Callithrix jacchus: one gene and its partner. The protein of the gene in region 2 purifies or fractionates together with the protein of the main gene of each other region. This does not show direct contact. Links are inferred from orthologs where the notes say so. Each region holds a gene or a part of one and is shown on either strand. Other genes may lie near its edges.

What was found. The genes of interacting proteins can lie anywhere in the genome.
Region 1: the proteins of VAMP8 (region 2) and STX4 purify together in Homo sapiens (affinity purification with western blotting; 3 studies listed by BioGRID and IntAct, with this or other methods). This does not show direct contact. The link is inferred for Callithrix jacchus from reciprocal best matches to the Homo sapiens genes VAMP8 and STX4.

The regions. Positions count from the first base shown.
Region 1 is NC_133513.1:30,559,892-30,564,896, forward strand, and holds the start of STX4 (syntaxin-4), read left to right. Parts: upstream 1-1,866; 5' UTR 1,867-2,135; coding exon 2,136-2,165; intron 2,166-2,342; coding exon 2,343-2,444; intron 2,445-2,533; coding exon of another isoform or gene 2,534-2,555; coding exon 2,556-2,655; intron 2,656-2,790; coding exon 2,791-2,865; intron 2,866-3,300; coding exon 3,301-3,371; intron 3,372-5,005. UniProt on the Homo sapiens protein: Plasma membrane t-SNARE that mediates docking of transport vesicles. Necessary for the translocation of SLC2A4 from intracellular vesicles to the plasma membrane.
Region 2 is NC_133515.1:27,446,429-27,451,457, forward strand, and holds the start of VAMP8 (vesicle-associated membrane protein 8), read right to left. Parts: upstream 3,081-5,029; 5' UTR 3,020-3,080; coding exon 3,017-3,019; intron 970-3,016; coding exon 811-969; intron 1-810. UniProt on the Homo sapiens protein: SNAREs, soluble N-ethylmaleimide-sensitive factor-attachment protein receptors, are essential proteins for fusion of cellular membranes.

The DNA of each region.
Region 1 (5,005 bases), on a different chromosome or scaffold from region 2:
TGGAGTGCAATGGCGCCAGCTCAGTTCACTGCAACTTCCACCTCCCGGGTTCAAGCAATCCTCCCATTTCAGCCTCCTGAGTAGCTGGGATTACAGGCACCTGCTATCATGGCTGGCTAATTTTTGTATTTTTGTAGTGATGGGGTTTCGTCACATTGGTCTTGAACTCCTGGCCTCCCAAAGTACTGGGATTACAGGCATGAGCCACTGTGCCCAGGCTGAGCTGGGTTTTAACAGGAAAAGAAGAGCTAAAGCCCTTCACATAGAATCAGATAGCACTCGACAATTTCCAACCTCATCATCACTGAAGTTTAGAGCAGGGGATACCTATAATGATCTCTCCATCCCCCTAGTTACCCACTGTACAGAGGGAGATCAAGGCTTAGAGACAGGAAGCGATTTCCAGAAGTCCATAGCAACTCAGTCCCAGGAATCTAGGCTTCCTGACCAGGTCATAGCAGAAAGGGTCCATTCCTTCCCCTACTTGTACCTTCACAGAAGCTTCCTGGAGAGCCCTGGGTTCCAGGAGTCCATTATTCATTCCTGGCTATGCTGAGACTTGCTGAGTGACCTTGGGGACTCCTCCTAGAGAATGTAAGTTTGACGAGTGCAGGAATTTTTGTCTATTAGTCCCTGATATGTCTCCAAGTCTAGAACAGTGTTTGGTCCATAGTATGTGCCCAATAAATATCCATTAAGCGAATTAATGTTGCCTGTAATCCCAGCACTTTGGGAGGCTGAGGCAGGATTGCTTGAGCCCGAGAGTTCGAGACCAGCTTGGGCAACATAATGAGACCTCACCTCATGAAAATTTTTAAAAATAAAAAACGAGTGAATATCTAGATAGCCAGGGTTAGGGAAGTGTTACAGTCAGAAAGTCTGAAACCCAAAGAAGACCAGGAAACTGGGGGCTTTATCCTGAGATACATGAAAGGCTAAAATTTTGTGCACAGTTATTTACAGAGGGCCCATTATGTGCTTGGTAGTGAGCTAGGAACTCCCCAGATTCAGTTAAGAACGAAGTCATGACCTGATCTCAGATGTAAGGTAGGGGCTGGGGGGTGTGAGTGGTAGGGAGGCAGCGTGCTCAACAATACAGACACTTTTCTTAGCCTGAGCTGCCCTGACATGGTCTGACTGCTCAGAGGTGGTGAGTGCAGCCGGGCTGCCATGTTCAAGGAGGGCGCCGGCCGCCCACCTACCAGAGGCTGCGCCAGGAGGATGCGGGAGATTTCTGCCTTGGGTGAGGTCACCTCCCACCCCCAGATTCCCTGCTCACACAACCCTGCAATTTTCTGACGCTGACGGCTCGGATATTATTTCCCGATTTTCGAGGTCCCATGATGCTGACAGCCCCAAATGCTAAGTGGTCTGCCCACGTTCCTGGACCCGAAAGCAATAAAGGCGAAGTCATCAAGGGTACACCCACCCACTGCCTCAAAAGGCCTCTGGGGGTGGTCGGCGCGCCCCTCCCCACCTCGCGGGGGCTGTGTGGGCGTCGTTCGGTCGCTGGGGTGCCGGGGACTTCGTGATGAGAACGGCGTCCCAGAGACCGCGGTGACAGAGCCGGGACACGTGACAGTCACAGCGTCACGTTCTGCGGTCCGCGAGTTTGGGAACGGGCTGGTCACGTGATGCAGTGGGGGCATCATGGGGTGATATGAGATGCGGGTGTCTCGGCTTACGTACAAATGACGTACTCCTACGCCTTTTGGCAACCAGATTTCCGTTGGAAGTTGCAACGGTTCCGGTGAGGGGGGCGGGTTCTCGCGTCCAGGCAGCTCCGTTTCCGCTCGGGGCGCAACAACTTCCGACTCCGCCTTCCCCCTCCGGCGAGGAAGAGACGCGACCTTGTGCGCATGCCCCGAATTTATCACGGAGGGGCGGGGCTGAGGCTGAGAGAGCAAGAGAGGGGAAGAAAAGGGAATTCCAACCTGTGGAACCTTAGTGGTCCCCGGGGTCGGCTCCTTCCCATTGACTGTGGGTGGTGCAAGGGACAGAGCGTCTGGCGGCTTGTGGGGGTGTTGAGGTCCGCACCGGGAGGGAGGGGAGTGTCAGAGTGTGAGTGGGGTACGGGAATTCCAAACTTGAGGGCCTCCTGGCTCAGGCGCCGAGGAGGGAGAGCTCAGGCCGCCATGCGGGACAGGACCCACGAGCTGAGGCAGGTGAGACATGGGGGCAGTGGAGATGTTGAGGGGCGGACGAACTGGAACGCAGGACTCCTGATCTTCAGGGCGGGGAGGGATGGCTGATGGCCAGGAAGGAAAGTCCCGGAAGCCTGTGGGTCGTGCGGGGTGAGAGCCGCAGCGAAACAGTGGTACCAATGACTCCGGGCCTCGCAGGGGGATGACAGCTCGGACGAAGAGGACAAGGAGCGGGTCGCGCTGGTGGTGCACCCGGGCATGGCACGGCTGGGGAGCCCGGACGAGGAGTTCTTCCAGAAGGTAAGGGGCTGGGGTCTCTGCCTGGATTCGCGAGGGGGTAGGAAGACCCGAGGACCAGCGTGGTCTGGAGTACCCCATATCTCTTTCAGCCCTCTCGGTCACCCTCCCCAGGTCCGGGCAATTCGGCAGACTATTGTCAAACTGGGGAATAAAGTCCAGGAGTTGGAGAAACAGCAGGTCACCATCTTGGCCACGCCCCTTCCCGAGGAGAGTGAGTGAAACTCCGACTGCAGGGCGCATGCACCACCTTAGGGATTGTGGGGGTTGTAGTCCCACATAGGTGATTGCCAGGGTGGTTTGTTGAGGTGGGAGCTGCTGTTCGGAGTCGTGGTCTTCTCTTATTCAGGCATGAAGCAGGACTTGCAGAACCTGCGCGATGAGATCAAACAGCTGGGGAGGGAGATCCGCCTGCAGCTGAAGGGTGAGCTCCTGGGACCTCAGACAGATCCTTCCCTTTGATCCTGCCCTGTTGTTGGTGTATCTGGGGAGTGTGTGGCCCAGAGAAGCCGATGATATAACCAGGTCACACAGCAGGCCTGGGTCTAGCATCTCTGTCTCCTGGCCTCCAGGCCATTGTACTCTCCACAGGACAAGCCGGCCTCTCAGGTTCTTTTATTTACAATGTAACCATTTACTTACACAGTTATTGCAGCCCACTGGGCATTCTTTGGGCAAGAGGATGGGGTTTTGTTAGGTGGCCTCTGCATACCTATGGGAACTCAGTGATGTAATGCAAAGAAAAATAAACGTACTTTCTCCTCTTGGAGGCTCAGCCTTAGTCATTTTATGATAAATTATATTTCCCTAAAAATCCATGGAAACAAGTACCCCCAGTACTCCATGTGTCTTCCCACAGCCATAGAGCCCCAGAAGGAGGAAGCTGATGAGAACTATAACTCCGTCAACACAAGAATAAGAAAAACCCAGGTGGGTTTTTTTTTCTCAGAAATGAGGACATTTCAGCAAATGTTTCATGAAGTACTGGATGACAGATGTATGAAGGAAGGGCCTGCAGAGATGGTGGAGTCCAGCGGAATGATTTTCCAAATGGGGAAACTGAACTCAGAGAAAGAACTTGCTCAAAGTCAGGAAACCAGGTCTCCTGATGCTTAGTCCGATTATAATACCCTGCTTTATTTTCTTTCATTCAATAAGAAGTTGCTATGACCCCAGACAAGACCTAGGTTTGGCTGTAGGGACACATGTTTCTTTTACTTTTTTTGCCTCAGCCTCCTGAATAGCTGGGATTACAGGCAGACATCACCATGCCTGGCTAATTTTTGTGTTTTTAGTAGAGATGGGGTTTCACCATGTTGACCAGGCTGGTCTTGAACTCCTGACCTCAGGGGACACTCCTGTCTCAGCCTCTAAAGTGCTGGAATTATAGGTGTGAGCCACCATGCCTGGCTGGGACACATATTTTCTAGGAGTCAAGATGAGGAGTTCAGGTTCAATAAGGACAAAGACATTACTCACGTAGGACTTGGTGATAATGGTGCTGCCCAGGGAAAGAGAGAAGTCATAAATGACTGGCAGCTTTCCTGCCTATGTGACAGGGAGTCCTTAGTCCCACAGGCAGAATTCAAGAAGGCAGGAAGAGGAACTTCCCTGGGGCGACACTGAAGAGGAACTTCCCTGGTGTGATATCTTATATTTTTAATTATTATTTTTTTGAGATGGAGTCTTGCTCTGTCACCCAGGCTGGAGTACAGTGGCAGGATCTCGGCTCACTGCAACGTCTACCATCTGGATTCAAGCTGTTCTCCTGCCTTAGCCTCCCAAGTAGCTGGGATTGCAGGTGTGCACTACCACACCTGGCTAATTTTTTTATATTTTTGGTAGAAATGACGTTTCACCATGTTGGCCAGGCTTGTCTTGAACTCCTGACCTCAAGTGACCTACCTGCTGTGGCTTCCCAAAATGCTACGATTACAGGTGTGAGCCACTGTACCTGGCCTTTGGGGTGATGTGACTGGCCCTCTCTGGGTCCCCAGTGAAAAGTACTTTAGGATTCTAGGAGGTCAGGGTTGGAAGTTAGGCCCAGGGTTGGAAGTGAGGACCCCAGATTGAAGATGGAGCAACTTGGGCATCTTGGAAGGGTGCAGCCGGATCCAGGAGAGTAGATGTATCTCTGGAAACGAAACTCCAAGGAACGAACATATTTAAGGCCTCAGGAGAAGGGGCAAGGCAGAGCAGATGACCTATAGCCAGTGCTTCTGGGGTAACCTGTGGTGCTGATTGGCATGAGAGGTCAAGGGCCCATGTGGGCTTGTTGCACCTGTTTTGCCTGGGCGGCATGTTCATCTCTAGGCTTATGAGCACAGTTGTGGTATAAGCAGCAAGGTTGGCATTCAGCAAGTGCCAGACCCTTTTGGAACTGTTTAGGATACAGCAGTGAACCAATGATCCCTTTCATCATGGAACTTCCATTCTGGTGTAGAGAAACAATCACCATAATACATAAGTGAATTATTTAGACATAATAAGCATTATGGAAAAAAGAGCAGAGGAAGAGGGACTGAGTATGCTGGAGAAGAGTACAGATGCAATTTAAATCAGGT
Region 2 (5,029 bases):
GTAAGACTCCGTCTCAAAAAAAAAAAGTCCCTAGGCTGTGCTCTCCAAATTAAGCTACGTTTAAGCTGCAGAAACAGGCACTGAGTCCCAGGGAGACAAGGGAGCAGTACTCAAGGGCCAGGAGTTCACACAGAACTCAGAAAGCCAGAGCAGGCCTCTCCCCGAACACAGAACCTGAGGCTCCAGGCTTTGCTCAACTTTGGAGTTACTTCCTCCCTGAAACAGCTGGCCTCAGCCCCTGGCTGGAGAGAGGAATGAGGTCTAGCAAGATGTGTGGGAGATATTATTCTAGCCTTCATCTAGCAGGGGACCCTGGGATCAAAGCATTTTACTGCTCTTTCCAGCTTGTTTTTAAAGCCAACTTACCAAGATGCCAGCAATTTCTCACCCTTTGCCTAATAGCTCCTAGAGAAGGCTAGAGGCCATAGGGGAGTTTCCTCAGAGCCAATATTTCTGCCCTGGGAAGGTCAGATGCAAATGATTGTCTTGGGCAGGCTTCAAAGGGAAATTCAGTTTCCCAGGAGAGAATCCTAAGAATGCAGGGGCTGACTGAGCTATTGGTCTCAGAACATGCCTCTATGGGCGAGCTGCCACCTCAAGCCCCAGTCATGGGATCCATTCCCTGGGATCCCTAACAATCTGTGGATCAGAGCAGATTCAGAAGTAGAGACTGCTCATATCAGCTCCCAAACCTGGTGAAAAGCAACAGAAATGGCTAACTTCTGGCCCTCGTGTTTATTTTGCCCCACCAAAAAGAAATTCCCTTCCTCCCTCTTTTCCTCCAACCCCCAGTGGGTTTCCCGTCCTCACTGTGGCTTCCAGATCCTCTGTCTTGTTGCGGAGATGCTCCAAGTTTTCCCCTCGGGCCAGGATCCGCTCCACATTCTGGGTCATGATATTCTTAACTCCCTCCACCTCACTCTGCAGGTTCCTTACGCGATCATTTCCTCCACCTTCACTGCCTTCCTCCTGCACAGCAACATGGGGTTAATTAGAACAAGTGCTGGGGGAACTGGAGAATTGGCCTCAGAGGTCTGGGGAGTGTAAGGCCTCAGGCAGACTTTAGCTTTTTGTAAAATGCTTGAAATGTTTACAAAGAGAATGTTTTCATGTATTGTGTAATAAAAAATAAATGCATTTGTAAGCCTCAGAAGGTGAGATGTGATGCTAAACAGACTGGATCAAACTCCTTTTTGGGCCCCTGACAAGGAAAAGCAGCACATCACTAAATCCCTCCCCACTGCTTCCTTGCTCCCTAAAGAGGGCCATAGAATACAGCAGAGCCGCATTGCATCTCACAGTGTTCCCCGCCAGGGCAGAGCCCACCACTATTTACAATGCCTGGAGCCACCCCCCCTTTCCTGATTTCTCTGGATCCTCATTGAAAGTGTCTGTGCTAGGTGTGGTGGCTTGGCCTGTAATCCCAGCACTTTGGGAGGATGGGGCGTGTGGATCATGAGGTCAGGAGTTTGAGACCAGCCTGGCCAACATGGTGAAACCCCATATCTACTAAAAATACAAGAAATAGGCCGGGCGTGGTGGCTCACACCTATAATCCCAGCACTTTGGGAGGCCAAGGCGTGTGGTTCACAAGGTCAAGAGATCGAGACCATCCTGGTCAACAAGATGAAACCCCGTCTCTACTAAAACTACAAAAATTAGCTGGGCATGGTGGTGCGTGCCTGTAGTCCCAGCTACTCGGAAGGCTGAGGCAGGAGAATTGCGTGAACCCAGAAGGCGGAGGTTGCGGTGAGCTGAGATCGTGCCATTGCATTCCAGTCTGGGTAACAACAGTGAAACTCTGTCTCAAAAAAAAAAAAAAAAAAAAAAAAAAATATATATATATATATATATATATATATACACATACACATACACACACACACACATATATATATATATACACACACGCATATATATAATAGCTGGGTATAGTAGCAGGTATCTGTAACCCCAGCTACTCGGAGGCTGAGACAGGAGAGTCGCTTGAACCAAAAAGGTGGAGGTTGCCGCGAGCCAAGATTATGCCATTATACTCCAGCCTCGGCAACAGAGCCAGACTCGAGCCAAAAAAAAAAAAGAAAGTGTCTGTGCTGGCCAGCAAAATATCCTCACCTAGCCCAACCTATCTGTCCCTCCAAGACAGCTGCTGGAGCCCTGCTCTGGCTACAATGCCATTGCTGTGACCCAGAGCAACAGGCAACCAAGTCCCCCAGAAGGCGCCAGGAACCGTTGAGCCACACACTTCTGCTTTCCCCACCACTGGGCACCACGTGCAGGTACCAAGGAACTGCCTGCTTATGCAGATGCTAAATAAAAACACCCATCTTGGCATTGGGGGAAATGGAGGACTAGTCCTCCCTGGCTGATGTCTCATCTGGGAAGCTTCATGACCAAGTGTTTGAACAAGGAGAGAAAAATACTATTAAGCTCCTCCCTCCTTGACCTCCAAAAACAAGCCAGTGGCACGGGTCAGAACTGGATTATCACAGAGAACCAATTTCTGGTTCTTTATAAACGCTTAGTTCTCTTCTTCACGTTAATGGAGAAAGGACACCCGAAGGACTCCGTGGACACACAAATCCCTTGTGTTTCTGTGTGGGAATAAAGTGAAAGGCCCGAGACAGCTCCTGCCACTGGGTTGGAATCTGAACTGGGAACTGCTGGGGCGCTGCCTTGTAGCGTCACAACACCCGCCTCGGGGCTCCCTGGAGGAGGAAGGCGTAACAACTATTTGCCTGGAATTCGGAGCCCCGTCGGCACCAGCACCGAAGCCCAGCTCGTGACGAGCACAGAGGTCAGGGGAGGGAGGGAGGGAAAAGGAGTAGGAACACCTCCCAGGACGGCTCAGAGCTATTTGCAGCCAAGTTGTCAAAGAGGAGAGGCCACAGGCAGCACTGGCCCAGCCCTCTAACTTTGCCACCAACTCTCCTCCCCCATCACAGTTAACCCCCGGTCCCGAGCCCCCTCTGGCCCCTCTTTAAAACAGCCCTTTCCTCGTTCCCGGTTCTCTCACCATATCTCAGAGCAGCTCAGGCCGGTCAGCAGGTGAATTCGCCTCGTCGGCTTCCTCCTAGGGTGGCCCTCGGCTCACTTCCTGCTTGCTCCAACTTTCAGCCTGCCCCCGCCCACCTCGCATCTCGAGTCGCTCCAGCCACACCTAACTCAGGTTTCCCCAGGTAGGCGGGCACTCTTCGCAGTCTCCCAGTGGCTTCCCAAACAAGAGCTTAAGCTTAAAGCAAAAGGGCTCTCAGATGCCAAAGGTCTTCTAACTTGTCAGGAATTAGAAAAGAAAGATCAAGCAGCCCTCCTAGGTTTTCTGAGGCTGGACCTCCTGATCTAGAAAGAGCAGCCATATCTTTTTTTTTTTTTTTAATAGAGACGAGGTCTCATTGTGTTGCCCAGGCTGGTCTCAAACTTCTGGGCTCAGGCGATCCTCCCACCTTAACCTCCAAAGTCCTAGGAGCCATGACGCCCCACTAGCGATTTCCTTTTTATATCTTGAATATCTGACTCCAGTTTCTAGACACCGAGATCAACCATGCCAGGCCTAGTTCACAGGGAAATAGAATGCAGTTATGAAAATTTCTTGCTGGACAGCTTTCGTTCTCAGGTCCTTGGGTGGCAGAAAGCACTAAAACCCCTGAAGTCTGGAATACTGTGATCCTGGGCTCTGATGTCAGAAAGCTCTGGGTTATTAGTTGCAGGCCCCTGAGTGAAACTTTTTACCTCTGCGGAGTTGGCAGGTGTTGATGCTTAGCTAAGATGGTGCTGGTAAGAAGCAAAAAGAGGTCTGGGTGCGGTGGCTCACGCCTGTAATCCCAGCACTTTGGGAGGCCGAGGCGGGCAGATCATGAGGTCAGGAGATTGAAGCCACCCTGGCCAACATGGTGAAACCCCGTATCTACTAAAAATGCAAAAATTAGCCAGGCATGGTGGCACAAGCCTGTAATCCCAGCTACTCGGGAGGCTGAAGCAGGAGAATCGCTTGAACCAAGGAGGTGGAGGTTGCAGTGAGTCGAGATAGTGCCATTGCACTCCAGCCTGTGCAACAAGAGCAAGACTCCGTCTCAAAAAAAAAGAAGCAAAAAGATAGCATGTGCAGTGCAATGCCTCTAGCACAGTGTCCGTAATGATGGCTCACCAACAATCCCCTTCTTCCCTTCCAGAGTTCAGCAAATCTGCATTTCCCTTCAGGGGACTCTGTGGAGGTCATTTATCCCAGTCAGTGATCAGAGGACTGGCCCAGTGGACCACAGCAGGGGGCCCAAGGCAAAGGATTTTTCCACTAACCTGGCTCTAGGCCAGAGAAAATCTGTTCTTCCTTGACAGTGTTTATCAAGACGGAAGAACAATAACAGGGACATTCAGAAGGGAACGAACATTCTTGACCCATTCCAGAAGAAATCAGTTCCAAGGAGGAAATGTCAGCTTCCCCAACAAATACTTTTTTTGTTTGTTTATTTTGTTTTGTTTTCTTGAGATGGTCTCCCTCTGTCACCCAGGCTAAAGTCCAGTGGCATGAACTCAGCTCACTGCAGCCTTGAACTCCCAGGCTTCAGCGATCCTCCTGTTTTAGACTCTCGAGTAACTGGAACTACAGGTGCAAACCACCATGTCTGGCTTTTTTTTTTTTTTAACTTTTTGTAGAGATAGGGGCTTTACCACCCTTAGAATGTTGCCAAGGCTGGTCTCAAACTCCTGTTCTCAAGTAATCCTCCCTCCTCAGCTTCCCAAAGTATTGAGAATATAGGTGTGAGCCACCACATCCAGACTCCAGACACAAATACTTTTTTTTTTTTTTTTTTTTTTTTGAGACATTTCTCCCTTGTCGTCCAGGCTGGAGTGCAATGGTGCTATCTAGGCTCACTGCAGCCTCCACCTCCCAGGTTCAAGCGATTCTCCTGCTTCAGCCTCCCCAGTAGCTGGGACTGCAGGAGCACACCACCATGCCCAGCTAATTTTTTGTATTTTTAATAGACACAGGGTCTCACCATGTTAGCCAAGGTGGTCTCGAACTCCTGACCTC